Linked DNA regions of Ovis aries. The protein of the gene in region 6 interacts with the protein of the main gene of each other region in a pairwise test. Links are inferred from orthologs where the notes say so. Each region holds a gene or a part of one and is shown on either strand. Other genes may lie near its edges.

Region 1 (4,370 bases), on a different chromosome or scaffold from region 6:
ACCTCCTCGGTAGTTGCCTCCTCCACCGCTGCCTCCTCCTCGATTTTGGAAGCCTCCTCGGTTGCCCCCTGGGGGACCTCGGTTGTCATAGCGCTGGAAACCACCGCCACCCCCGCGGCCCCGGAAGCCACCCCCGCCGCGGTTGTCAAAGCGCTTTTCAGGTGGTGGTCCAGCCCTGCGGCCCTCCTCGTTGTACTGCCTCACCAGCTTGTCTGCTTCCTCTCGCTGCAGCTCAATGAACAGCACCTCGTCCAGGAAGTCCCCAACGTCAGGCAACGTGAAGTTGGCTAGGAGGAAGGGAGGGTGCCAGAAGGAGAGGAAAGGCGGTCAGCACCTTCCGAGGGTTAGTCTCCTTCACCCCCAGGACACTGGTCTGCCAGAAGGGAGGACGAGTAGGGGACCGCAGTGTGAGCAACAGAGGAGAGAGGGTCCCAAGCTCTGCCTACAATCAACAATCAGGGGCTAACAATGACCCTCTTCTCCTTTTTCTGAAGAGGTGACTAAATTCTACCAAACCGATGTTTGATACCCCAGGAACAAGCCAGTCAAGGAGAATCACCATCCTTGTTTATTATGGAGATGCCTCACTGAGGCTTGCTCAGCCAGCCCACCCAGTGGGTGCCAGGGGCAGAAGGCCACGCAGGTCTCCCACACCCTGCCCCGGCCCCATCTAATCTGAAAAGCCTGCCCCACCGGGGTATGGGCGGCTCTTTCAGTCACAGCGGTACTACACAGGCAAGGAACAAAGCAGAAGCAAAGAAAGAACAAATTCAAAAAAAGAATACTCAAGCAGCTGGGTCGGGAAAAACGGGGTAAGACACTTTTCCCCTTAAGGGCCTTGCCATGATGCCCCCCTGGGAATCACTCATCTCCTACCTTTCATTTCTAAGACCGCGTGATCTGGGACATCCTTCCCTTCTTCGTCAGTTCGTTTTATTGTTCGGTCTTTCAGGTCCTCATCAGTGGGACAAATTACAATGGCTTTGCGCTGGAAGCCTTCAAATGGTCTCATTTTTCGTCTCTGGGCTGACCCATAAACATTTGTCTAGGGGTAGGTATCAGAAGAGGCAAGAGGTGGCACATTACAAGTCGGTTTTTCCTCTGCAGGGTATTATGTGGGCCAAGGAGTGAGAAAAGGATACCAGTTCTCCTAAGCAGAGAAACTCAGGAAACTGCTCCTTCTTCACTTCTAAGATTCTTCAATCTACCCTCAGAAAACGAAGTGACTTGGGAAAGTGGCTGCTGACAGTCACAGGACAGGAGATTCCTAATGTCTGAGCTTTGCTTTTTAATCCTATTTGTTCTTGGTATTGTACATTACAGCTCTCTTGGCCCCTATTCTAAAAGTAGCATATGCTTACTGTAAAAAAAATCCAGAGTACAAGGTGTATAGAGTAGGAAGCCCTTCATCCACCTACTGCTGCTGTTCCTACTTCCCAGAGATAAAACCTGCATTGAATTTCTTATGTATTTTTAGAAGTATCTGTGTGAGTCTTAAAACCAATGGAATCAAACAACACACACTCTTTGGAAGCCTTTTTTTCACTCAACATTTATCATTTTTCTGTGCTGGTGCTCTCCCTTTTTTTGGCCACGCTGTGCAGCTTGCATGATCTTAGTTCTCCAACCAGGGACTGAACCCTGGCCCTAGGAACCAAAAATGCCAAGTCCTAACCATTGACCGCCAGGGAATTCCCTGGTGTTCTCCTTTATTATTTGTAGAACAGATGCCATGATTAACCAGTCCCTTTGACAGCTGTGTAGATCATTTTCATCAACACTGTTTATTCTATCCCCTTAGTCCTGCTCTGAAACACCAGCTGCACCCACAGGCTTCTAAATTAGGGTGCTTGGCAAGCCAACAGCTTGTGCTGTTTGGAAGTGCAGTTTTGCTAGTAACTTCCTCTTTGCTTCTTCTAGATGGTTAGGTGCATCCTGGCCTGGTGCTGGCAGAGAGTGATACTCTAGGACACACCTGACTGAGAGCACAACAGCTCCCATTCACTGCGTACCTCCCGCGTGCTGGGCCCTTTGGGACTGGGGCCCAGATCTATCAAACCCCAGTGGTCCAAGGACTCAGCCTATGCACCTGAATCACTTGGACACGACTGAAAAAGACAGCAGCTGGAACCCCCCTACAGGGGTCTTCCTCAACCCCCGTCTCTGAAGTGGAGCCCAGACACACATACGGGTGTCCTTTTCACATTCTGACACACAAAAGAACTGGAGTGATAAGGAATGCTGCATTTAAACAACTTTCAGTGGCCCTGAAAGGTAATCAGGGGAGAAGCCACAGCGGGGAACAAATCTGTAAAGAGGCCTGCATGTACCAACAGACAAACAAATATTATGTTTTGAAGATGCAGCCTAGTGGGGTGGAAAAAGCCCAGCATCGAGTTCCAGTGTGGCTACTCGCTCACCACAGCCAGTCCGTGTTGTTGCTTCATCCATGAAATGCGGGAGAAAAGCCTCTCTCCTGGACTTGGTGAAGACTGACCGGAAAAAGGGCCACAAAGCAACTGACCATGTGTGAGGGATCCCTGGAGTAGGGGCTCCGTTGTGGCCTCCAGGATGGAAGCTGCCCAGAGAGAGACCAGTGGTGCAGGGCAGAGGCTTCGCACACCCCAGATCTAAGGTGACCTGGTTAAGTCACACCACAGGGCCCGGAGTGAGTGACTTCCTCTCAGAGCCTCAGTCTATCTACTAAGTCTCAAACCCTGAAAGGGGGAAATAAGAGGAAAGTCATATGGTCACTACAAAGACTGAAGGAGCTCAGGCGAGTAAAGCCCTTGCTTAGTCCAGGGTCTGGCTCACAGCCGACACTCAGCAAACAGAGGTCATGGTTGGTGAGATGGCTGATGGCTGGTGGCCATCACTGGATGGCTGCACTGGCTCTTCTCACGGTATGGCTGAGTTCAAGCAACCTGGACCAGGTGAAAGTCCAGCTACGGTGATTCCCATCAGGAGGACAAAGTCAGCGTAGAAATCTAGACTCTGGGGAAGAGGCTCGAGGTTGAAATCGCAGCTGTGCCCTCTATTTGTGAGGATGTAGACAAGCCACCTAATTAGTCTGAGTCTCAAATTTCTGCATCTGAAAGACGGAGATCCTACCACCCTCCCCCTGGCTCTGGTGGGGATTTGCAGATGTGGAAATGTCTGGCAGGGAAAGAAGTCTGAAATTGGGGCCAGCAGGACTGACGGTGTCCTGGGAGAGGCTTCCCAGTAGGGAGCATCAGGGAAAGTTAAGTTTGAGGAGAAGATGAAACACAAGAGAGCCTATTCCAAAAACACGAGGAACAGAAGCTGGGATGTGGGTCAGCCAGAGGCCAGGGACCGCAGTGCACACCTGTTGGGAGATCTGGTCAGTGGGTATTCTCTAAACCAACTCGACCCCGTGGCTCTGACACACACAGCAGTTAGAGGGTCTTCCTTGTTTCCCAGGGAAAATGTCTCAACCTTCATTGGGGGTGGAGGTGAAGGCATACACATGCAGTCATCTGTGCCTTTAGCCACACAAACGGTGAAAAAGTACACTGGTTACAAAGGAAAAGTCAAGTCCTTCTCCTCGCTGCTCTTCCCAGGCTCCATTCCTAGAAGCGAATCAGGTGGCATCTGGTCATAGGAAGATAGAATTTGATTTCCAGCTAAATAAAGAAGCTTCCTCCTGGCACACAACCCAGATGAGCCAGGAGTGAGTGTGGCCCCAGACATTCTGTGGACAACTGATGAACAGTGGACAACTCATTCCACTGTTTGCTTGCCCATAAGAAATGATCAGTGATCCTATCTGATTCCTCTGAACCTCAAGGACGTGGATAAATGCCTCTTGGGGGTTTTCTATGAAGCAGACCCGCCCTGTCCATGTCCTGATGAGAAGACAGAGAGGAGAAGCATTGCTGTCCAGAGGGACCAGTCCCCATAGCTTCTTGATGGGAAGTATGGGGAAGAGCAGACGGAACTCCTCAACAGCTGGCCTCTATCCTGGGAAGTGGCTAGACACCAAGGGATGGCTCCTCAGATACTTCAGAGCTGAGGTGCTGAGAACCCTCATGGTGACGATTTAGAGACTGCACCTCCCTCCCCTCACTCCTTGGCTTGGGGAAAGGAAGAATAGCATCTAAGCCACACCAGCAAAAATGCAAATACTTGGCTTTCCTAGAGGGAAGGGAGTTAGCTGTTGGTGGCTGTTGCCACAGCAAACACAGTGAGGTCAGAGCCCCTGGGCTGGCCCAGCACTGCTGTGGTCACTGGGGGCTGCTGGTGGCTGTTGCTAGGAGACCAACACAACAGCTAGGTCAGCTTTTCCAGCTGTGTGGGCTCCTGCTGCCTCATTCCTGCTCCTCTCAGTCCCACCCTGCTTGAAGATGCTG
Region 2 (5,131 bases), on a different chromosome or scaffold from region 6:
CCAGAGAGACTAGGTAGGAGACTGGAAGGATGTGAAACAGGTGGCAAATAAGCCACAGAGGTGGGTTATGGCTCAGAGTAAGTCAAATGCCCACCAGAAATGGGCAGGCCTTCAAAGAAAGACATAAAAGCAAAGAAAAGGTTGATGATGTTATGTTGAAGAATAAAAGACTCAAGGTTAGCAAACCAACTGTTATCACATAAGAATAGAAATCCTACAATGTGTCTATGTCTAAGCAATCAGGTGAAGGCGATTATTCTCCCTCCCTGCTCCCAGTAAAAATACGCAGAGTTCTGGACAAAAGATCCACACTCTCACTCTCCAGCCCACACGGAGTTCCGGTCCTCACCACAGTGCCTTAGGGAATGGAGCTCCCAGGATGCCCACTTCAGCTGGTTTTCCACAGCATCAAGCTCAGAACTCGGTAATCCCTGAGCTTCTTCTTGAGATACTATCTCCTCCACTAACACTTCCCGTTTTCGTCGACGAAGAGAAACCTGGAAATGATAGGAATTGGTTCAGTTGAGAAGGAATTTGATGAGAATCAAAACTAAAACACACACCAAAGAAATCATACAAAACATATGCTGCAGAGGCCTAGAGGGCAAAGCAGCATAAATAATGAAGGGGGGGGAGGGGAAGCATAAACATAATTCTAACTTAGTTGAGTGGAACTAATTCAGAAGCTGTGAATACTGCTACGCCAGTACTCCTAACAGGAAACTTACTGGCTGTCCAGGGTCATCTAGTTCACTCTCTAAATCCTCCAGGACCGTCACTGCCTCCTCTCCATTCTCTGGATGATGCTCTCGAACCCAAGTCTGTAGCTCCTTGGGGAGGATGGCAACAAACTGCTCCAGTACAACCAGCTCCAAGATTTGTTCTTTTGTGTGTGTCTCTGGCCTGAGCCACAGACGGCAAAGTTCTCGAAGCTGGCTCACAGCTTCCCGGGGCCCAGGTGAATCCTGGTATCCAAACTGCCTGAACCTCTGGCGGAAAACCTCCGGGTCAGGAAGATGGTTCCAGGGGATACTCGACCCCTCTTCACCATCAGGATCCTCCTCCAACTTCACTCTTAGAATTTTTTCCTCTTCATCTGGAGTTGGGATGATAAGTATTGAATCCTCTTCCACTGACTGTGCAGACATCCTGATTTGTGATACTTCAAGGAAAGACAATCAAGGCAAGATACCTTAGGGAAATACCCAGTTTTCTTCACAGGCACTCCTGAGGCACAAGAAATGAAAAATTTATAAATGACTAAATATTCTAAGAACCTGGACACAGACTGATTAAAGGAAATAAAAATGTGTTCTTTTACTAGATTAAAAATGCCAATCAATAACCTGAACTAGAAGTTTGCAAACTACAGCTCATGACCAAATCTGGCCAGCTGCCCATTTTTGTACAATGCGTATACTAAGAATAGTTTTCACACTTGTACATGGTTGGAAAAAAATCAAAAGAACACTCCATTACATGTGAAAATGACATGAAATTAAATCGTCTGTCTCCATAAATAATTTTACTCATTTGTTCACACTACAATAGCAGAGTTGAGTAGTTGCAATAGGCACTATAGGGCATGAGAAACCTAATATTTACCCTGGTCCTCTAGAGATAAAGTTTGCCAACCTATGAACAAAACCTATTTCAACAATCAAAAGAATCCAAGTTAAGAACCAGCCCTTCTCAGTGTTATCTAAATGCATCTGACCCTTGAACACATTATCTACAATTCAATACTGGTGTTCCTTGACACACTTAGGTCATCTCAAAAGCAGGGACTGCTTTTTTACTATCTGTTAAAAAAAACTTTTTTTCACAAAACGTTTAACAGTTATTTTTTAAATGTTTAAGAACTCCTAGGACTTTAAATACACGTTAAAAAAATTCACTTGGTCAGGAATAGATAATAATGTTGGAAAAAAGGAACCACTATGTGCCATAAAATTTAATTATTTTTCAGTTACCCTCCACACCATAAATACCTTTAAATTAGGAACGACAGGCATTAATCAGCAAATTCTAGGGGGAAAAAAGAACTCTCGTAACACCTTTGTGGTGCAGATTCTTCCGCTGACACTGAATGACTCACAATCTCCCCAGCTACTACGTTCATGGAAACCTTGTGCTATTTCTGATCCTTTCCTTGGTATTTGCACAGTCATGCCCATGCCATTGTCTACAACACCCGTTAAGAATGAGCCACGCAGCTGCTCAATGTACCCATATACGCCCCAGAATACGAAAGCTAATTTCCAAAAACTTCCTGTAACCCTACCAAAACTAGGAATCAGAAAAGATCTTATCAGGTAACATACACACAAGTTTAATTAAATACTCTGGAGTGTGGCGGCCTTATAAACACGTAGCTTTGGCCTACAGATCTGTTTCTATTCCAAGACCCTACCTTTCTACGGCTCAAGCACTCTACAGAAAAGACATTTCTCTTCCTTTTACGTTCTCAAACAGCACTCTGGCGGTGGGATGTGAGGAGTTGCGGGGAGCGCAGGTCCGCGGTCCCGACCGTCTTTGGGCGGAGAGCCCGGTCCCAAGTGACCTCCCCACGCACTCCTGCAGAGTGCCGCTTCGAACCGCGCCCCCACCCCAACGACGTCAGCCCCTTTTCCCTGCACTCGCGGCGGCGGCTTTCCTCAGACCGAATGCCACCCGGCCACAACAGCAAACGAGCCGCGGCACTTCCGCCCGCGGCCAGCTGAACTACAAGTCCCAGCAGGCCCCGCGCGAGGCCCGCCCACTCCCACCTCCGCCCGAGAAGAATCCCAGAATTCTCCGCGAGATGCCAGGGCCTCGAAATAGAACAAAACCGGCCGATGGGGGAGGGGAAGTCGGGGGTCGCGAAGGACACAAGGGATGGAGGACTCTTCGAGGGTGCTGAAAGCCCGATCTGGCTTTTCGTCTTCCCTTGCCCGTCCCACAAGTGCCGGGCACGGAGACCGCGGCCTGTCCCCCACGCCTCTGGGAGAAGCCGAGGAAGGTTCCCGCCAGGCTTCTTCGCTGACTCTTGTCAAGCAGTCTGCAGCCCCCAGGCCAGCGTCTCTCACACCCTTCCCCCCAACTCGCGCAAACCTCGGGCTCGGGAACCACAGCCGCTTCGCTGTCCTCGGCCGACGCAGAAACGCCGCTCACGAGCCGTTTCCCAGCAGCCCCCGGCGCGGACTGCTTCCGGTCTGTGGGCCCCAGGAGGCGGGGGGGAGGCGAAGCCCCACGTTGCCATGGAGATGTGCTCTGGGCCGGGGGAAGGGCTGTCCAACGACAATGACTGCTTTGAGGCTGCGCTTGGCCTCGCGCCTTCCTCCCCCGGTATCGCAGCCTTCTGGGTTCCGCTTGAAAGACAAGGAAAAGAAAGAATTCTGCCACTAAGACAGTCTTTACGGTTTCATAAGCCTTTTCACATGCATTATCTCATGTGATCGTCACAGTAGTTCTCTGAAAGAAGTATTATGAATATTTATGAATGTTAATTACTTTGTACCAGGCACTGTCACCGTGCTTTACATGTAATTTCATTTTCACAACAACGCTGAGATAGTAAGTACTTTTGTTATTCCCATTTCACAGCTGAGATCACTGAGGCACAAGTAAATAGCTTGCGGAGTGCTCATAACTGGTGAGTGGGAAACAAGATTTGAAACCAAGGCATGACTCTCACCTTTGCCTCCTACTTGCTATGCCATACAACTTTATTATGACCAGTTTACTTGTCAGGGAAACAAGATGAGACTCTTAACCAAGAGCTTTGGCAGTGAGCTCACACTGAATTTGCAGAATGCGTGGTCATTTTCTGACTTGAGGCTTGACAGTTTATATTACAAAGCAGCTGCCAAAGTGATCGTTTAAAAACAGAAATCAGACAACTTAATTCCCCTATGTAAAGACGTTTAATGGATCCCTAACTGCCTTACTCCTGCTTGTGCTCAGTTGCTCATTGTGTTTGCCACCCTATGGACTGTATCCGGCCAAGCTGCTCTGTCCTTGGGATTTTTCAGGTAAAATACTGGAGTGGGTTGCCATTTCCTCCTTCAGGGGAATCTTCCCCTACTGTCTTAATTATGACATAAAAATTCCTTACATTTTCCTGTAAGGCCCCACTAGTCTGTTCCCTGCCCCCACCCCCACTCTCCAGCTCTATAGGCTCATTGTGGTCTGGATCCTCAGCCTTCCTGACCACCTTTCCTCCTGGAAGCCTCCCCTCTCTCATAGCACTGGGTAGAAGCGATCTCATTTATTCACTTCTCTATTTTTTTGTTTGTTTGTTTTGCTTTTGTCCATAAGACCCATAGAGGCAGAGACTGTGCCTGCCTTATTCACCACAGTATCTCCACATAGTAATCCCAGGATATTGACTGCCTGCTACACGGTGGTTGGTCAGTTGCCAAGTCTGGTCTGACTGTGAGCCCATGAACTGCAGCACCCCGGCTCCTCTGTCCTTCACTGTCTCCTGGAGTTTGCTCAGATTCATGCCCATTGAGTCAGTGACGCCATCCAACCATCTCATCCTCCGTCACCCCCTTCTCTTTTTGCCTTCAATCTTTCCCAGCATCAGGGTCTTTTCCAATGAGTTAGCTCTTCGAATCAGGTGGCCAAAGTATTGGAGCCTCAGCTTAGTGTCAGTCCTTCCAGAGGATATTCAGAGTTGATTTCCTTAAGGAATGACTAGAGAACTCGGTAAATATTTGTTGAATAAATGAATAAAGTGTGGGCTGCTCAGATTGCTGCTTTTGCTAAGTCACATGTCAGGCCTAAGAAACCACAAAGAAAGAGCCCTGTTGTTTAAGGTCTGTGTTAGAAGTGCAGGTCCAGCCTTTCAGAAGCATTCCAAGATCCTCAGGCTTCAGCTTTCTGCCTCTTTGGGAAAGTTCCCTTTGCAAAGAGCCCTCAGTCTGCTGGACTGGTGAATGAGAAAGCTCACGAGTTAGCAGCTGATGGTATAGCACTCCTCTACTCTGACTGGAGCTTTGCCCCTCCAAACCCCTGCTACTTCTGATGACTCGTCTCTCTTCGTTTAGGAAGTTTCTGAAATCTTTACTTTTTTCTTTCATACTTGGCTATTGCCACCAACCTACTTGGCTGCTCTTCCCAACTGTTCTCTCTTTGGTGACTCTAA
Region 3 (4,979 bases), on a different chromosome or scaffold from region 6:
TCAGACTTCCAAATACAAGGCTCCAATACTAGGATCATTGAAAATTTGGTTGGGGGTCAGGCAATTGTGTAAATCATCAGCCAAAGTTATTTATAAAGCTAATATTAATATTTTAAATTTGTAAAACAACCGAAATGTAAAGATACAACATATGTTTTATCTGATATCCTTGCCTATCCAAAAAAAAAAAAATCACAGTAAATTTAAATGGTCGGCATTTAATAATTTATATCTTTTCTTAAAAAATTGTTAAAAAGAATTTCCTCCAGGCTAAAGAAAGATCTGCCAAATTTCAACCTGCAGCAGTTTGTTATGGTTGTATAATAAAACCCCCAAAGCTGGTGGAAACACTGACAGTTCTTTAACCATGGTATTATAAGGAGAGTGGTAGCCTATATATATCATTTAAAAATCTGAGCAAACCATAGCGTGCTTACAAAACCAATATGCTTTCCTTAGACTGCACTTCCAAATAAAGCTGAGAGACCAGAAAAGTAAAATAAACTAAAAACAAAAGTGAAAACCACTCACACAATAGACTCTGAGGTCAACTCACCACACCCAAACTGAAGTCACTGGGCTCTGTCCTTGGCATGGAGACTCTTAAAAGACATGCTTCTGAATCAGCTTTCTTGACCCTCCACCAGACTGTAGCAGCACAGGCTTCTGGGTAATGAAAGTGACATCAGCAATGGTCAAGAGTGAAATTAAAATCATTGTGTTTAAACATCTGCTGACAGTTTATGACTTAATAGTACACATATTAGGCAATTTTAAATAAGATTCTGTCTACAGTGAAAACAAAAACAAGTGCTTTAGCATAGGTCTGTACTGTCCAATATGATTGTTAAGCACTTGAGATGGGCTGTAATTGTAAAATATACCTTGGATTTTAAAGACTTAGAACATGTACATACATGCACATATATACACATAAGTTCATATAGTATCTCAATGTTTATATTGATCAAATGTTAAAATGAAAATATTCTACATATATTAGGTTACATAAAAATATTGTTAAAATTAACTTACCTGTTTCTTTTTACATTTTAGTGTGCCTACTATAAGATTTACAATGACATGTGTCCATTATGCTTCTAATGCACAGCACTAGTAAAGTCAGTGGGGCTGGGGAGGTGCAGGAATTAGTTCTAAGAACCATAATTGGAGATCTTATTGCAGTAGTGTAGTAGGTGATTTGGTTACTTTTCTACCTTCCTGAGATTCCCCCCTTGCAGTGTATAACACTGCCCTTGAAAAGTGAGTGTTAGTCACTCAGTCATGTCTGACTCTTTGGGACCCCACGAACTGTAGCCTGCCAGGCTCCCCTGTCCATGGAATTCTCCAGGCAAGAATACTGGAGTGGGTTGCCATTCCCTTCTCCAGAGGATCTTCCTGACCCAGGGATTGAACCCAGGTCTCCTGCATTGTGGGCAGATTCTTTACCAACTGAGTCACCTGGGAAGCCCAACATGCACTTTACCCCTTATTAAAATATCTCTGAGAGTAAGCTGTTGGTAAAGGCATAATCCTGAGATATGCTAGGCTTAAAATTTGTTAGGCTTTATGTTAGACTAAAAATTTGTTAAGAGTCAGTCTCTCAGGGTGGGGTAGGGACAGGCTTCAGATACTTTGCCACCCTGGGAAGCTGATGGAAAACTCGTTCTGTGTTTTAGAAAGCACACGCTTTCTGGAGTGACAGCTGAATGGTTGAGGGTGACATCTTTTAATAAGAAATGGCTTTAGGCCATTTAGGTGTGGATAATGAAAAGTATACAGTTACTGCTTCCCTAGAAAACAAATCAAAGCCAAAAGGAAATCTGTGGGTTTTTTTTTAAACAATTTCTAATATATTTACTACAATAGCATATGTCAAAAGGAAATGAGATGAATTTTAACCATTACCATTTATTTTGCAAGCAAGACCTAGATACATTTTCATCAATATAACTATTATCAACATTGAATGTACTGCAGTGACTTATAAAATAACAGAATTTGTGGTTTTATGCATCTATAGAACATAGCTCTTCTTACATGAAATTGAACAACATTTTAAGGCTCAGAATGAGTGAGTTGAACTTTGCTCAGTATTGGCCAGGAGCATTTGGAAATCTATTAAAAACACGTCATTAACAACTTGGCATTTTGTTTCCTCAAAAGAAATACATTTTCCAAATTAAAACCAAAGCCCAAAGCCACCATTGTTTACACTTAAGATAGAGGCAGTTGATGGGTTGTGAAGGTAAAGCTTGTGGTGCCTTCAAACTAAGATCAGGGACAATGATAGCCATCAAATTGTTATTCTGACTTCAAGACATTAAAATACATAGCTATAAGCTCTCACCGTGCCTTTGTTTTTCTTGAGTCAGTTTTGGCTAGGAAAAGCTGATCCAAATGCAGGTCAGAGTTTAAGACAATTATTTTATGAGGAATTTACCAAGTTTACCCCAAAGAGGAAGAGCCAGAGAAAAATGCATTGGCAAACTTTGCCTTTTGACATAAACAACTAGAGGAAACTGTCCGTGTCAGGATTTCAGCAGGGTTTGTCAGGCAGTTTGTTATTTGCAGAAGCCCTGTGCTTCAGGGCCGCTCCAGAGTTTAACTGCTGGGTAACTTTGGGGAGCTCTCAAGACTGACCACTGAAGATCCAAATTTGCTTTGCGCCCTGGCACTGACATGGAGCGATTGCTCCTGCTATCCATGCTGACCGAGCAGACTAATAGCACTCAGACTTCAACTGTAAATTACAAACAATCCCTTTTTAAGTACAAAAATGAACGCACAGAATGGAGGACCCTGTCAGCTAGAATGCCAGTAAATCAAGCAGAAAAAGACAAACGGTTCACTTACACCACTTACAGCCAGATTCTTGTTCTGCTAGCCATACTGTCATGGGAGAACTTTTCTTTTTCTGTCAGATAAAAAGAGAAATTAATACCCCCATTGTAATTCTAATCAACATGCCAGCCATCAACGGAGGCATCTCCTCTGAAAGCCGATCAAGCTTCAAGGTGATGCTTCCCAACCCCTCCCCCTATCTCTGGTTTAAAACTTGTAGCTGAAATACCAATAGTAAGACCATGTGACCCCAGCACTCCCAGCGCCAGCTTTTCTGCAGTCAATTTCATAATGACTTCGCTCCGCCTCTCAGCTCAGCACTTCCTTCCCCCTCACTCCTCTCGCCCCCACCCCCAGCAATGAATCATCGCGCATTTAAAGAGACTTAGATGACCCAGCGTGAACTTTACTGGCATCCTGTACATTCTTATGCCAAAAAAGGGAGTTGCTCTGTGGCAGAAACCTCGCCAGATCCCAGTGCTGATCTGAGAGGCAGCGAGATTGGGAGCTTATCTAGGAAGATCAGTGAGGAGTTAATTTTCCTAGATCCTGGTGGTGATTCAGAATTGCCTATCTCAGTTCACGATCAGGTTTTTAAGAATCCAGTTGAGCTCTCTGTGCAGAAAGGAATATATCAGAGAAAAAAATGTTGGCACATCTCCTTTATGCAATCAGGGCAGAGGAATTTATACCACATCAGCCTTTTGATTTCTTCGGATCTGGCTGAGGGCGGGGTTTCCATATTTGTGCTTTGGCAAATGTGTCCAAGAACGAACTCCCCCTTAGAGATGCTCCTAGTGTTCTTTCAGGTTACTGTGAGCTGATTTGTGCATTTATCAAAACCAGAAACATCTCTGCCCCTTCCTTTCTTTAATACCATTTCTTAGTAACAGAGATTAAGCAGACAATCTGGGCCTTCCTTACAGAGACTCTTCACCCTACTTAAGGCATAAAGGGTGGATCGCCTAAATAACATTGTGCTTTTCCATATACTTTCTCCCTACCTGGGAAGCCCTTCTTTGCAGGGCAATTTTTATTCCCATCCTCCAGGATCCAACCCAAGCACCAACATTTCTGCGAAGTCTTTCCTGATTATCACAGGAGTTTGTGGTTCTGCCCAATGTGTGAGTCAGCGAAGTGCTATTTTCTTATTCTTTTTATTTATACAATTTTTTTTTAACTCTGACAGAAAAGAAAAAAATCAGGGCCGTAAGCACAGATGGAAAGAGTCTCCTAAATGAGAGCGTCTCTTATCTAATATTTCCTGTTACTCCCAAACCCGTCTGACCTCCACTTACAATTTCACATGTCACTGTTTTCCTTTTATCGCTCCGTTTATGTGGCACCCCTCACTAGTCAGTTCTCCGTGAGAGTTCCCATTGTTGTGGGTTGAATTTTGTTCCCGGAGAGATACATCTAGTCCCCAGTGCAGGGAGTATGGCTTTATTTGGAAATAGAGTCTCTCCACATAGATGGCGCTAGTGATTAAAAAAAAAAAAAAACCCCACCTACAATGCAGAAGACACCAGAGACGCTGGTTCAACCCTCCCTGGGTTGGGAAGATCTGCTGGAGGAGGGTATGGCAACCCACTCCAGTATTCTTGCCTGGAGAATCCCATGGACAGAGGAGTCCATAGGGTCCCAAAGAGTCAGGCACGACTGAAGTGATTTAGCATGCACAGATGTAATTAGTTGAGATAAAGTCTTAATGGATTAGGGTGGACCCTATGTCCAGTATGACTACTGCCCTCCTAAGAACAGGAGTCACAGAAGAGACATGGGGGAGGGGGAGCAGACGACATGAAGACAGAGGCAGTCTTTCCTGCCCTGAGCCAAGGAAAGCCAAGAATGGCCAGCAACCACGGAGAGCTGGAAGAAGCAAGGAAAGATTCTTCCTTAGAGCCTCAGAGGGAGCAGGGCCCTGCTGACACCTTGATGTTAGGCTTCTGGTCTCCAGAATTGTGGGACAATAAATTTCTCTTGTTTGAAGCCACCCAATTTTTTTTTAACCACAGCCCCAGGAAATTCAGACGCCGTTTCTACAAGAGCTATGGCAACAGATGCGTTGCATTCTTCTTTCTTGCCTGTATTTACATGCATGGCCCACTGTCTTTCCTCTATAGATACATATCGGT
Region 4 (4,370 bases), on a different chromosome or scaffold from region 6:
CTTCATGAGTGGCAAATTCAACATCAGCTTCGCCGGTCACTCTTCCATCAGGGCCAATCTCGATGTGGACTCTCACAGGGTTGAGCGGGGAGAAGAAGTTGTAAATGTCGTTCTCTGTGGCTTTGTAGGGCAGACCTCTCATGTGGACGCAGTGTCCAGTGGTGCTCTGGACAGTGAACTCTCCATCTCCATACCGGTGGTCGTACATTCCGGAGAGACAGTAACTGAGGTCTCTCCCAAACAGGTCGGTGGTGAAGCCATAGCCATCACTGAGGCCGCTGTACTCCTCATAACCCCCATAGCCTGCACTGTAGGCACCAGACCTCATCCTCTCCAGGCCTGCCTGCTTGACGATGCCAATATACCTCCTGGCTGTGCCAGGGCGGTCATAGGGCCCTGGCCGCTGCACTGACATGAACTTCAGTGGGGGATCCGAGTATGACCTAACTTCTTCCTGACTGCTCTTGAACACCTCAATATACCTGTGCCCTATTCTCTCCTTGTGCTTCCCTAGAGCCTTCTCTGCTAACTCCTGTGAGGCAAACTGCACAAAGGCTTCCCCTGTAATCTTGCCCTCGGGGTCCACAGGCAATGTGATCCCGTTTGGCACGATTTCCAACCCTGAGAAGAACTGAATGATCTCTTCCTTGGTGCATCCAAACGGGAGTCCTCGAAGTCGCACGAAACCATCGTTGGCAGTGTCAGCACTGTTTGGACCACTGTGCTTCAACACCCAATCCATCTCGGTTCTGTGGGACTTGAACACTTCAATGTACCGATGTCCCATGCTTTCCCTGTCTTTTTTAAGGGCCAATTTTACATCATCTTCTGATTCAAGTTCAACAAAAGCCTCACCACTCTGCCTGCCTTCTCTAGTGTAGATAAAATGAACACCTGCGACCCCGTCATGGATCGTGCAGTCGGAGAGGAAATTCTGCACATCCTCAACAGAGCAGGACCAGGGCAGGCCACGGAGCTTGACCACAAAGCCTTCACCTCCCTCAGGGCCCAACATCATGGACACTCGACAGAGCAGACGTCAAACAAGCCCGGGTGCAGCTTTGTGTGGCTGAAAAGAAAGCAAAGACTACATAAATTTTCATTTAATATGTTTAACAAGAATATGAAACTAAAGGAAAACAGACTGCATTACTGCAATCACTAAAGTAAAAGGCAAGACAGTAGGTGAGAAGTCCTATTGTCTACTCAAAACCCCAATCAAGCGCATGGTAAAATTAAGACATATCCAAACAAACACGTAAGTCCATCAGCAGAGTATCAGTTATATGAGATGCAAACATAGAAATCAAACTATATGCCTCTCAGTTTCACACTGCCATGGCCTGGGTTCAATCCCTAGTGCCATAAGCAGCACAGCATGACCCCCCCCCCAAAAAACAAAATAAAACACATTACGTTGTTCAATGCAACACATACATCGCTGTGTTTCACTGAGGGACTAGAAATGGAATAGACTCTTCATTGTACAAGAGGCATGACAGGTGCCCCTCCTGACAAAGTGCCATGAAGTATAAGTGGCATCTGACACCCAGAGTCCAAGCTGAAAAAAGAGTAAAGGTCAAATCCATGTCGAAGGGCAGCATTTTGAAAAGCAGGAGCTGAGTCAGACACCAATATACGAATAACACAGACAATAAAAATACAGATAAGGCCAAAAATATATTCAGAACAGGCACAAGTATACAAAAGTTGTTTTATCGAATTGCCATTTGATATCAAGTATAACAGATGTAGCTATTAAGTCAGTGGTAAAAGGTGCCTTTTCAAAAAAATCTAGGCACATTATCACGCAGAAAGATGAAACAGAATCTTACCTCAGATGAATCCTAAAACTATCTCAAATGGCATGACATATTTACACTATTAGAGCAAAACATGGACAGATTTCTAAAAACCCCACAAAACCAGAAAGCATGAATGGTAAGAAAAAGAAAAGAAAACTGGTTTAACAGAGACCTGGTGAAGCAAATCAGAGCAAGTTCTAGAAATTTATAAACAAGGGAGTTGCTTCTTCTGTAGCTGAGCTCTTATCTGTGGCTCTGCCCTGGTCAACTCCACCCACCCCAAGGAATCTCCATCTTCATACAAACTTCACTGAACACTACTTTCCTTATCAATTAAGGAGATTTTCTCATTTCTAATCACCCCCTAGGATACTATCTTTCCTTATACCAACTTGCCTCCAGCTACTTGGCTTTGCTTTCCCTTTCAGTGAAATCTCATCCTCAAAAAGGCTTCTTACACGTCCTTCCCTACCCTACCATTAAACTAGGGCACATGTCACTCTGCCAAGGATCTCCATGGCAAGAAAAGAAACATTTTCTTATCTCCATCTCTTCTGTGCCCACAGGATTTAACCATTCTCGCTGGAAATCCTTTCTCCTCTTGGCTCTTGGTTTTCCTGTTAATTCCTTAGGTACTCTGCCTCTTTGAGTCCTTCACCAAGGTTTAACCATACACAATCACTGGCCCCATTTTTGCAGGTAACCTCACCTGATCCTTGTATTTCCAGCGTCAATTCTGGGCTCAGGACACACAGGTTCCTAGACTTAAGATTTCCCCGAGGCCAAGACTGGCCTAGACAAACTCCATTCCATAGTTCAACCTATGTACCACAAATCAACACCACTTTTTTCTGAAACTCTTCTATAGTATCCTGAAGCATAAATGGCCTTACTTGCCATCCAAAGGCTCTAGAATGAAACTGAAGCAATCTCTGAACAACTTGCAAGCCCTTAAATCTAATGAGCTCATTATTTCCTTGTGGGGGGTGATCCCATTCTCCACCCTAATCCTACTCCTAATCCATGCCTAAATTCTATTCAGTAATTCTTGACTCCAGCAAGTATAGAGATTTCTCCTATCTTGGTCCTTAGCATACTGCTTGAATATCAAATCATCATCATCTCTGTGCATCACCTTCATCCCTTTCTACTTCCAGTACCAACAAGCCCTTTCCAAGACATTCACATCTACAACTTTTCCAGTCCTTCCTACCAGCCCAATCTGTAGCTCTCTTGAGTGTAATTTTATGTCATTCTACTGTTTCAACACCTCAGTGGCTCCCCACTGTCTGGAACACAAATCATAGGGCCAAGGGGGTGCTCAGGCCTTGAAACTTTGACCTGAAACACACTTGCATTAGAAAGCAAACAAACCTTTATTCCTGTATTTCTGTGCCGGAAATGTGGCAGGCTCTCTGTTCCACTGGAATTGACACATGTAGTAATTATCTGTCTGAAGATAGCCCACCCAATCTTCTGTCTAGCTAAATCCCACTAATCCTTATACTCTCAGCTTAAATTTAACTTTTCCACAAGACTTTCTCCCCCCTCCACCCCCCGCAAATTAAATCTATAGTTCTATGATCCCAGAGCATTCTAGGGAAACAATTCATAATTTGTTTAAAACTCTTTGCAACTGCGTTGAGAGGCTAGTAGCAACAGACTTATCTGTTCAGTAGGTCACTGTAGTCCCACCCCCAGCACAGCAGGCCCAAGATTAGCAAGAGATTAACTGATGGCCACGTGGGGCCAACACTACCTTCTAGAATATGGCAGTCTGGTTAGGTTAAAAAAGACAAGCAGAAGGGGGGAGGGGAAGACAGGAAGCATAAAAGAACAAATATTTAAGAATTATTTAAAGTGCCCAAAACAGAAATTATAAAGCAAAAAAAGCACTTTTCCAAAACACATATGTACTTCTAATACATAGAGCAATATCCTTACTGTTGACCTCAGAATCCTCTAGATTTGGATTCTTCGCAGACTTTCAGTACTTAGAATATTAAATAAAACTTGTGAAAATAAGAGCTGGCTTTCTGCTCAACGTTAGATTTACAGCTAGTGAAAAAAAAATCTTAACTCAGGAAGTTTTCTGCATCAAGAAATGAATTATAAACTGAGAGATTTTCTTAAAATAGCTCACCTTAAAGAACACCGGGGGATGCCCACAGTCGAAGACACTCCAGGTAGGTAACGAATCGTCCTAAAAAAGAGCGACAAGGAAATTTTATCTTAATGCCCCAGCACTCCCGGAGCAAGCAGAGGCAGCAATCCCCTGGCTGGGACCGGCTCTGAGCTCCTCTCCAGTAAAGTGAGAGCCGAGGCTGTGGCAAGCCGTTTTTAAGCGCCAGGTTGCCTTAAAGAAAGTACACTCCCGCCCCACCCCACCAGCTTTGGAAAGGTTTATCTTTTTCATAGGGTAATACAGATAATAACAGCCTGGAACCATCCCACTTGCCCTGAAAAGATTTACTCAGAAGGCGCGTTCCCTACAGAAAACCCTAACCGTGGTTAAGAAAATTTAAATATCTAGAGTGGGAGGCGCACCTCCTGGGCGGGGCTGCG
Region 5 (4,999 bases), on a different chromosome or scaffold from region 6:
GACTCAATGTAGAGTTCATCTGTCAAGACCTTTCTGGATTGGGATCTTGTTATCCATTGTATTAGTCACCCTTCTTAACTTTGTGTTAACTGCAGGTTTGATAAACATGCACATGTGTCTTCATCCAAGTCATTTATAAAAATTGTTGACAAGATCAAACAGTACCACACTGAGGCCACCATGTACATTTACTTAAACCCGTTAAACAATACTCTCAGTTCATGATCTTCAACTAATGTACCTAATAGTTCTGCTTTGTTCACAAGGATACTGTGAGAGACTTTCCAAGATGCCGCATTGAAATCCAAATACTTAAAAAAGGCAATAAGGGTATCAATCTGTAATGATTTGATACCTGATGAACTTGGCTTTTACTTCTGAACAGATTTAATATATCCAGCCAGAATTTTGCCTGGAATGGATATCAAATTCACAAGTCTAGTTTGTGGAATCTACCCTTCTCACTTTGAAAATCAAAACATTTGCCTACTTCTAGTCCTTTAGCGTCACTCCTGTTGGCCAGAAGTCCTCAGATTACCAGCAGCTACAGCCATTTCACTTGGAAATTTTCTGTTATGTTGGGGACGAAATCACCTGGGTCAAGTGCCTTAAACACATTCAGAGTGGCTTAGGGCTCTAATACCCACTCCTCTAGTCTCCTGGGCATCAGTTCTCCTCTTGTCATTCTGCATACAATTGTGTTTGAGTTAAATCTGATTCAGAGTTAAGTTCCTAAAAGATCTGCTGAATGGGAAATTCAAATTTTCCCCCTTTCCTCCTTTGGTCCAAAAACTTTTAAAAACAATGTCAATAGTACTTTCTCACTTCTCATAACTTGTAGCTTAAAAATTGTTCTTATGGAAGCGCTATCTGCTCTTTATAAACAAATCATTTTGATGAATATAAAATAAAAAGCAAAAGCTCCTCTTTTACTTTCTATCCCAAAATATTCCCCAAATTTTCCTGCACTTTCCTTGCCTCTAATGGCCCTCGGTCTCCAACTCCCTGGGAGTTGTCCTGACAGCCTTTAAACCATGACAGGTTTTGTTACACACCATGTTTTCCTCCCAGTTGAGACCAGAAGCTCCTAAAGCTTTGTTTTTTACTCCTAGGTAGCTCATGTACTGAATACAAGCATACTGAAGAAATGGAACATTTGTTTAACTCTGTGATACTCTAAAACTTATGCTAAAAGCATTAAAAGTTTTACTTTCAAAAGTGGACACTGTTTGATTTAGTCAATCTAGCCATCATCACGTCCTCTGACCTATCCACCCACTGTTTATAAAGACCCATTCAATTATGCTGGGAAGAGAAAATGAAAGTGAAAGTGTCTCAATCGTGTCCCACTCCTTGGGACCCCATAGACTATACAGTCCATGGAATTCTCCAGGCCAAAATACTGGAGTGGGTAGCCTTTCCCTTCTCCAGGGGATCTTCTGAACCCAGGAATCGAACTGGGGTCTCCTGTGTTGCAGGCGGATTCTTTACCAGCTGAGCCACAAGGGAAGAGAATGAGATCCAAATTAATCAGAACTTCATATTCCCACAGACATGGTTTAGGGTAGGGCATGTAATCCAGTCTAGACAATGAGATGCTATCAGCTTGAAGCTGACAGGATACAAAGGACTCTAGATACTGCAGCCATTTTAGGACCAAAGGAGTGATCTATCCAAGTATGGAACCAACATCCAAAAGAGCAAATCTGAGAGACATTAGACCCTGGTAACACCATTTAAGTGGATATCTATTTAAGTAGAACTGTTACTTCATTCTAGATCTCAGAACCATCTTGGAAAAGCCTTCTTCCTCCACCAAGCATACTACTACTTCACTCTGATTCTGTAAGTCTTTATCTTTATGATCAAGGAACTCTTTTCATCCAGCATGAGGGGCAGAGTCTGATCAAAGATTGAAGAAAAGGATCAGGACTCTTAGAATAAAAAAAACTAAAAAAAAAAAAAACTATAAATACAAAAAGGAATACAAATATACACACTGCAGCAGACTAAGTGATGTATTATAAACAGGCAAACAGTGATGGCATGAAAAGCTGAGAGTGAATAAGTGGTGAATGTTGGTTGGGTGTGCAGATTGGTAGAAGAAAAAAAAAGGCTGTACAAGAAAGGGGCATATGACACGAACTCCTGCATTATCTGTTCACACTCTCGTGCCTTTCTCTCGCTCATTAGCCGCCACAATGGACATCTTTCAGTTCTTAGAAACTAAGTTCTCTCCTGTCTCAAATTAATTATGCTGTTCTGGATGCTCTTTCCCCCAATCCTCTCACGACTGACTCCTTTCTCACACTTTCCATCTCTGTTCAAACCCCACCTCTTCAGAGATGCCTTTCCAGTCCAACCAACCTAACCTGGACCGTTCTCTTTTTCCACCATCTCATTTCCTTCAAAGCTCTTACTATCCAACTGCATTTACTTAAAATGTTTAGTTTATTGACTCTTTCCACCAACAGAATGTAAGCTTCCTGAAAGCAAATATTCTGTCTTGAACATTTTCTTACACCCAAAGTATCTCTTAGAGAATGAATGGCAGAATGTGAGAAGATAGCTTGGGAGAAAAGTCAGGCTGTTCCTAGGTAAGGCGATTACAATGGGGCAGGAAAAGCCAGCTGGCCTGGAGGTTGAACAGGAAGCTGAAGGTTTACGTCGGCGAGAATAAGGGGTGTTGGATGCGGGCTACAAGCTTCGCCTGGTCACTCTGGGGTGCGCCCACCGCTGCCCACCGGCTGGGTTGGGCAAATCGGCATAAATCACTTAGTAACCAATTCCTGGACGTCCCCTTCGCGGGAACCAAACGCGAGACTCTCTTCAGTCACCCCTAGGTCCCGCCCAGTGGCCTTACGCAGCCGTCTTCCACGAAATCGCTAGTGCACAGACATCAAACTTCTCGCTCCGGCCCGAGCCCCTTGTGGGCAGGCGACGTGTAAGAAAAACGGCCACCCTCCGCCAGGCCAAGCTGAGGATCCGACACCAACCCCGCTTCCCGGCACCGCTCAATAGCCCGCTGACGCGCTTCTCTCCGCCCCCAGCCCGCCCCGCCGCCCAACTCCGGTCCTAACTTACGCTTGTCTCCGGGCTATGAGACGATGCATGGGAGTCGCCATCTTAGCGCGGCTGGCGACGGCCGCGCTGGGTTTTGGGAAACTCCTCGAAGTGGGCGGGGACTTCGAACCCTGAAGGGCGTAGGCGTGGGCGGAGCCAGTGGTCCTGGCTAGGCTCTGGCGCTGCTTTTCGGGCAATAGTGGGTTGGGGCCTGGTGTGTTGTGTTACCTGCATAGTCTATAGTCGGAGGGAGAGGAATGAGGCCAACTGACTAATCTGAACAAGGGTTCTGAAGGACGAGTCCACTTATATTGCTTGGAGAAGCTGGGAAGAACATTGTAGAATGAGGGATCTATCTATCCATCTTTATATACAAATCCATTTTTATATACATGAACGAATAAAGTTAATTGCTTAGTCGCGTCTGACTCTTTTGGGACCTTATGAATTGTAGCCCACCAGGCTCCTCTGTTCATGAAATTCTCCAGGCAAGAATCCTGGACTAGGTAATCATTCCCTTCTCCAGGGGATCTTCCCAACCCAGGGATCAAACCCAGGTCTCCGTTATTACAGGCAGATTCTTTACAGTCTGAATCACCAGGGAAGCCCCACTGTAGTTTTCAGAAACCAGAAGTAGTCTGGATAGCAAAGTTTAAAGTAATAATTTGAACAAGATTGACTATCAGTTGAAAAAGGCTGGGGCTTCCCTGGTGGCTCAGTGGTAAAGAATCCACATGCCAAGGCAGGAGACACGTGTTTGATCCCTGATGGGAGAAGATTCCACAGACGGCAGAGCAGCTAAGCCCATGTGCTGCAACTATTGAGCCTGTGCTCTAGAACCTAGGAGCTGCAACTATGGAGACTGTTTGCCCCTACTGCTGAAGCCCGAGTGCCGTAGAGCCTGTGCCCCGCAACAAGAGAAGCCCCTGCTCGCTGCAAGGAGAGAAAGCTCATGCACGGCAATGAAGATCCAGCACAGACAAAACTAAAGAAATACAATGATTAAAAAGAGTGACTTTAGCAAACTATGAAGTGTACATATATGTTAATTACTTATGTTACATACATAATCATATTTTTATTAATAGTGATGTTAGAAGGTTATACAGGTAAAACTGCTTTGTCAACTAGAAAAAAATTATACAAATATTAATTATTTAAGGATATTTTAGCATTTAGTATCAGATCATGGAAATGTATTCCCTTAAATGCATGATGTTTGAAACATACATACCTTTTCAATTAATTAATTAGACTGCATTGGGTGATAGTTGCATCATGTAGGATCTTTCGTGGCAGTACATGGACTCTCTAGTTGCAGCACTAGGGCTCAATAGTTGCAAAGTTCTGACTTAGTTGCTTCCAGGCATGTAGGATCTTAGTTCCTCTGTTCAGTTCAGTTCAGTCGCTCAATCATGTCTGACTCTTTGCAACCCCATGGACTGCAGCACATCAGGCCTCGCTGTCCATCACCAACTCCTGGAGTTTACTCAAGCTCATGTCCATTGAGTCAGTGATGCCATCCAACCATCTCATCCTCTGTCGTCCCCTTCTCCTCCTGCCTTCAATCTTTCCCAGCATCAGGGTCTTTCAAATGAGTCAGTTCTTCACATCAGGTGGCCAAAGTATTGGAGTTTCAGCTTCAGCATCAGTCCTTCCAATGAATATTCAGGTCTGATTTCCTTTAGGATGGACTGGTTGGATCGCCAACTAAGGATCCCAACTTAGTTCTCCAACTAAGGATCAAATCTGAGTCCCCTGCATTGAAATCCAGATTCTTAACCACTGGACCAACATGGACGTTCCCATATATAACTTTTCAATATATATATGTGTGTGTGTGTGTTTCTAAGTTTCCATTCTTTTTTTCAATTAATATTTCTTGAACACCTAAAACGTTTTAAGAACTGAAGGCAGACCACTGAACAAAATCTTT
Region 6 (4,949 bases):
TCCATGTAAGGGACAACTTATGTAGTGCTAGAAATGTTCTATCTCATGATAACAGGTCGCAGCTACTTGAGAGTACACTTCAGTTTAAAAATAAATAAAACTACCAAGCTCTTCATTTAACATTAACGCACTTCATGCAATACACGTGTATTATCTTTCAATTAAATGGTAGACGAGTTTTTGGTAAACCTCTTGAAAAGCCTGGGAACAGAGTACAGAGAAGTCAATCTCTAAGCCTCAAATTTCTTTGAAATCTCTTTCAATAGTTGATAACACTCTGTTCAGATTCATAACATAACTGTTTATTCTCAAAAATAAATAATGTTTCAGATTACAATCTAAAATTCTTAACTTAATTCTTAAAGAAAACAAGTATTCTTAGGAGACAGGCAGCTCAAGTAGTAAGAAGAGGAGCACCAGAGAACCTTGAGAGTTGTACACCAGTTAGAACAAAGGCTGATGTTGCTGGGCCATTCACAATAGCCTTCTTTGTAGCAGTTTCTAATCTTTGCAAATTTAGCCTTTTATCATAGGGTTAATACAACAAATGGGATATATTTTAAAATTATGTTCAATTCTATGTTGAGAAGCTGCAACACAGAATTAGGAGTAACTGAGCTTAATTACTTTTTATGAAACTGATGTCAATATTAACTGGATTTCCATTAAAGTATAACAAATGACAGCCGGAGTTTAAGAGTCTAAAAACAAACAGGATCACAGAAAGCTGTGATTTTATCTCTTAACACAAAATAAGCACATCTAGAGGAAGTAACGGGAAAAGTGACAACAATTCAGCGTTTTAGGACTGAAAAACTGTGAGCAATACATTCTGGTACAGAAAAAAGGTTTATGGTTACTAGTAAAGAAGATTGGTCCTCAATCCAGAGTAAATTGAAATAATAATTTTCAAGCTAAAAATTTTCAATAATTTTCAAGATCAACAGGAGTTCAAATTAAAGCAATAAGCAACAGGTTCAGATTGCAAATTGCCTAAGGGACAAGACATAAATCAAATTTTAATCCTTATTCTCTAGCATCTCCACCTCCGAGAATTGCTGTACCTCTGAAAAGGCCTGTTACAATGGAAAAACGAAAATAAGAAGCAAAGGAAAAGATACAGCTCGGAGCTCTTTCCTCTAACAACTCCAAACACGCTGAAATCCCCCACCTTTTGTCTCACCCTCCCTCTTCCTAGGGCTTTCAGTACTCTTTCCTCACTGCAGTCAGCTGAACGCGGAGAGGCTTGGGGTTGGGTGGGAATTCAAAGGTGACAATCACTCGCTTTCTATAGCAATACAAAAAGACAGCGGAGGGAGCGAGGAGTTGCCCTTTGTTTTCGAAGCTGAGACCGCTACCATCTCGGATACCAAGTGAACGAAAGCTACAAGGGAAGTCCGTCTCGTCCGCCACCCCCGTAGTCCCTTACTTACCTCCAAGTGCCGCAAAAGCTGAGCGGTGTTTGCCTCGGATTTAACGGCTTTATACTGACTAATGGTCAGAAGCAAAGACTTCAAGCAGGCGGTGGAGTCCATCCGGACCCGCCGTAGGGCGCTTGGAGCGGGTACCACCACCGTCCTCCAGCTTTTACCGCGCTTTTTTTGATTTTTCTTCTCCACCCCCTCGCTCCCGGAAGCTTCCGATTCCGGTTGAGCTCCGGAAGTCCCTTGGCAACTTGAGGAAGGCACCCTACGAAGGAAAGGGAGGGCTGGGACGGAGTGATGGAGGTGGGGGATGTCGAGGCCCAGTATGAGTCCGTGAGGCAGGCTAGTAGTTGTCCTTTTAGACCCCCGATCTGAAAAGCCGCGAGGTTTTAGTTCGAGATCCCGTGAAGCTGAGAAATCTCGCGAGAAGTCAATTGCGGCTCCACTGGCGTAGGGGGCGGTTGGGTAGCAGGGGGTCCCTATTCGTCTGTGGGCCCTGTTTGCGTTTACTTCCTTGGCCTTGACCGTGGGTGGCCAGTTTTTTCTTTGTGCGTCATCCTCTACCTGAGAAATGGTCGCTTTCCCCTAGTCTAGACACGGTGAGGAGCTCTGAGGAGGAGACTCTTGGGTTCTAGATTTTGAGGCGGCCCGGGAGAGGCCTGTTTTTAAAATCGCTTGTTTGTCCACCGCTTCTACTGAGGAATGTTTGTTTCTCAGAGTAAACCTGTGGCCGTTCGGATTCGGTGGCAAGTTAGTCATGCGCTTATGATAGTCGTTGTCAATTTATTTGAGAAAGCTGGCCCAGGTGAATCCTGTGCCAGGTGTTGCTCCGAAGGCTGTTCTTATTAGCGTCAGTTTTGTAAGTGAAGGTGTCTGCTTTTATTTGACGTGATTGATTGCTTTATAAATCTTGGTGTCTAAGGAAATGGCACTGTTTGTGGTTTTTGTTCAGAAATAGTATTATGCATGTGAATATCATGAAATGAGTCAGACTGGTTCTGGAGCTTTTTTGCTTAATGTATGCTATTGAATGAAGCTTTAAAAGCCAGTTTGGAGAAAACTGTAAGAACTGGGTATATATCCTTTTTATTAAACCATTTGTCAGAAATTGTGTTTTGTCAATTCAAAGAAAGCCTATTTTGCGTCACTACATTTTTAAAGACGAATTATTTTTATATTAAAAAGCAATTTCATTCTGAAAGGTTAAAAAATTGAGGCATAAATCATTGGGTAATTAATGTGTTTATGTATTTATTCATTCTGTAAACAATTATCGAGTGTATAAAGTAGGCTAATCCTGCTAGTTAGGGACCCTGCTGGGAAGGAATTAAATGTACTGGATAATAGTACATACAAAATTCACCAATTAGAGGCATCATCCGGTTATGGTAACGAGTGGAGCTAGGCTGTTTGCTTACAAATCCTAGGTCTACCTTTTGCGATGTGACCGTAGGCACATTCTCACTGTTGCGATCTCATCTTGAAGTAAAATCTGACTAACAGTAGCACCTATTTCGTAAGATTGCTCATTTAATAACTAGCTGGAGCCTACAGTGTGCTAGGCATTGGTCTAAGCACTAGATTCGGTTAATAAAAATCCTATTGTTATGAAACAAAAATCCTACCATTACATTCTGATGGGAAAAACAGTAAATAATAAGCACAGTAAGGAAAGGGAGATGGAGGAAAAGAGAATTACTCTTCTAGATTAATGGTTTAAAAAAGAGAAATGGGAGGTCAGGATAGAGAAAGCTCTTTTGAAAAATACTTGAAGAATCGAAAAAGACCTGTGCTTTCTAAGGGGAAACATTTCTAGATAGAATAGCAAGGGGAAAAGCTTTGAAATGGAGCCTGATAATATAAGGAAGGTTATATTATCAAGCCAAGCAAGGACCTTGCTATGGCTGGAGTAGAAAGCGAGGGTGAGAGAGAGTAGTAGAGATGAAGTCATGTCAGGTTATTAGAAAATGAGCTAACCAATGAGGAACAGTTGTCTGGCATAATTATGTTCTCAGCAAGTGTCAGTTACATCTTAGGTCCTTGGCAATACAGTGATAACAGTTTGACAGCATTAGACTTTTCATTCATAATGATAAGTGCCTCACCATTGTCCCCATTTAGATCTGAGGGAAAGGGTCAAAGCTGTTTGTTCAAAGTGCTATCCTTTGAAAGCTTGCATTTTAGCTTGAGGAGTCACACACATTTTGCATCTCCATATTTATTTTAATGTAAAATAACATCTTTCTAAGAAAATCTTCACCAAAAATTGAGCTGTAAAAAGGTCTGATGTCTTTTGTCAGAGATACTTGTGTATCCCAATATGAGAAACAGAGCCATATTTTTAAGACCCAAAAAGGGGAAAAGGAGGAGGAGGAAATGGAGCTGGGTCCAGATGACTGAAGGCTGTACTAGCCTTTGAGCTGGGACTCTATCTTGAATTAAGTGATGATCTCTGGTTTCAAACTGGGTCCTGCAAGTTAGGTTTATGTTTTAGATTGATTACTCTGACACTCTGAGGAAGATAAGCCCAGAAGTAGGGAGAATATTTATTTTACTGGAGTCTTTCCAAGGGATGGCTGAGATAATTGAAGTGGAGTTAGCAAAAAGGTGACAAATTTAAGAAATATATATGAAGTGAAATAGGACTCTGAATGATTTCAAATGGACGAATGAGAGGGATGAAACTAGAAGGGATTCCAAGTTTCTAGTCAGGCTGATAGAGAAGATATAGAAACTGCTGAGGTAGTCAATATTTTAAGTATTCACGTATTTTATGTTCGGTGAAATATTGTATAGCTTATCATGTAGTCTTGTACCATTCTCATTAAACTTATTCCTGGATCTTATATAATTTTTGTTACTGTGAGTGGGTTCTCTTTTTCCCCTAAAAATTTTTAGTTTGTTTTTGCTACTGGTAAAAGAGAAACTGATTTGTGGTATATCTTTTACTCAGTTTAGTGACTGAAATATCCTTATTGATTCAGTTTTGCTTCCTCTCTTAAATTTTCTAGCTATGTATCACCTGAAAATAATAATTGAATCCCTTCCAATATTTGTTGTCTTACTTTATTTCATCAGTGTAATTTCTAAAATATGGAATAATCATAATGATACTGAACATTGTTACTTCATTGAATGAGAATGACCAGTATTTTAATGCTTTGTATAATTTGTGCAACAGTTGCCAAGAGATAAGTATTCTTTAAAATGTTTAGGCAATACCAGTGTTATTTAAAGAATGTCTGCTAAAAAGTTATCAAATATTTATATATCTTATTTTTCCCTTTAAAATGGTAGCGCAGCTGATTGAACATTTATCATATGCCAACCACTGTTTTAAGAACTTAGCTAATTGATCTTTATAATATCATGCTTTACGTACTGTTATGATCTCTGTTATGATCAGATGGAAAAATTTGAGAGAGGTGAAATAATTTGCATAAGATCACACAAGTAGTAGTAGCGAACTTTGTATTTGTTGTGCTGCAGATATTTTATTCAGGGTTTTATATTTATTTTTGGGAG

What was found.
Region 1: the proteins of DZIP3 (region 6) and HNRNPUL1 interact in binary tests that used the Homo sapiens proteins (3 or more experiments, as listed by UniProt). The link is inferred for Ovis aries from reciprocal best matches to the Homo sapiens genes DZIP3 and HNRNPUL1.
Region 2: the proteins of DZIP3 (region 6) and ZNF24 interact in binary tests that used the Homo sapiens proteins (3 or more experiments, as listed by UniProt). The link is inferred for Ovis aries from reciprocal best matches to the Homo sapiens genes DZIP3 and ZNF24.
Region 3: the proteins of DZIP3 (region 6) and ATXN1 interact in binary tests that used the Homo sapiens proteins (3 or more experiments, as listed by UniProt). The link is inferred for Ovis aries from reciprocal best matches to the Homo sapiens genes DZIP3 and ATXN1.
Region 4: the proteins of DZIP3 (region 6) and HNRNPF interact in binary tests that used the Homo sapiens proteins (3 or more experiments, as listed by UniProt). The two-hybrid records come from large-scale screens. The link is inferred for Ovis aries from reciprocal best matches to the Homo sapiens genes DZIP3 and HNRNPF.
Region 5: the proteins of DZIP3 (region 6) and ZCCHC10 interact in binary tests that used the Homo sapiens proteins (3 or more experiments, as listed by UniProt). The link is inferred for Ovis aries from reciprocal best matches to the Homo sapiens genes DZIP3 and ZCCHC10.

What each region holds. Positions count from the first base shown.
Region 1 is NC_056067.1:50,021,057-50,025,426, reverse strand, and holds part of HNRNPUL1 (heterogeneous nuclear ribonucleoprotein U-like protein 1), read right to left. Parts: intron 1,046-4,370; coding exon 877-1,045; intron 288-876; coding exon 3-287; intron 1-2.
Region 2 is NC_056076.1:22,075,834-22,080,964, reverse strand, and holds the start of ZNF24 (zinc finger protein 24), read right to left. Parts: upstream 3,197-5,131; 5' UTR 2,414-3,196; intron 1,228-2,413; 5' UTR 1,149-1,227; coding exon 729-1,148; intron 498-728; coding exon 350-497; intron 1-349. UniProt on the Homo sapiens protein: Transcription factor required for myelination of differentiated oligodendrocytes. Required for the conversion of oligodendrocytes from the premyelinating to the myelinating state.
Region 3 is NC_056073.1:39,589,421-39,594,399, reverse strand, and holds the start of ATXN1 (ataxin-1), read right to left. Parts: upstream 3,138-4,979; 5' UTR 2,857-3,137; intron 667-2,856; 5' UTR 557-666; intron 1-556. UniProt on the Homo sapiens protein: Chromatin-binding factor that repress Notch signaling in the absence of Notch intracellular domain by acting as a CBF1 corepressor. Binds to the HEY promoter and might assist, along with NCOR2, RBPJ-mediated repression. Binds RNA in vitro.
Region 4 is NC_056078.1:13,134,538-13,138,907, forward strand, and holds part of HNRNPF (heterogeneous nuclear ribonucleoprotein F), read right to left. Parts: exon of another isoform or gene 4,353-4,370; intron 4,009-4,352; 5' UTR 1,019-4,008; coding exon 1-1,018.
Region 5 is NC_056058.1:42,240,760-42,245,758, forward strand, and holds the start of ZCCHC10 (zinc finger CCHC domain-containing protein 10), read right to left. Parts: upstream 3,138-4,999; 5' UTR 3,126-3,137; coding exon 3,085-3,125; intron 1-3,084.
Region 6 is NC_056054.1:174,360,360-174,365,308, forward strand, and holds the start of DZIP3 (E3 ubiquitin-protein ligase DZIP3), read left to right. Parts: upstream 1-1,856; 5' UTR 1,857-2,023; intron 2,024-4,949. Other genes in the region: protein CIP2A, read right to left, coding at 1,434-1,535. UniProt on the Homo sapiens protein: E3 Ubiquitin ligase proteins mediate ubiquitination and subsequent proteasomal degradation of target proteins.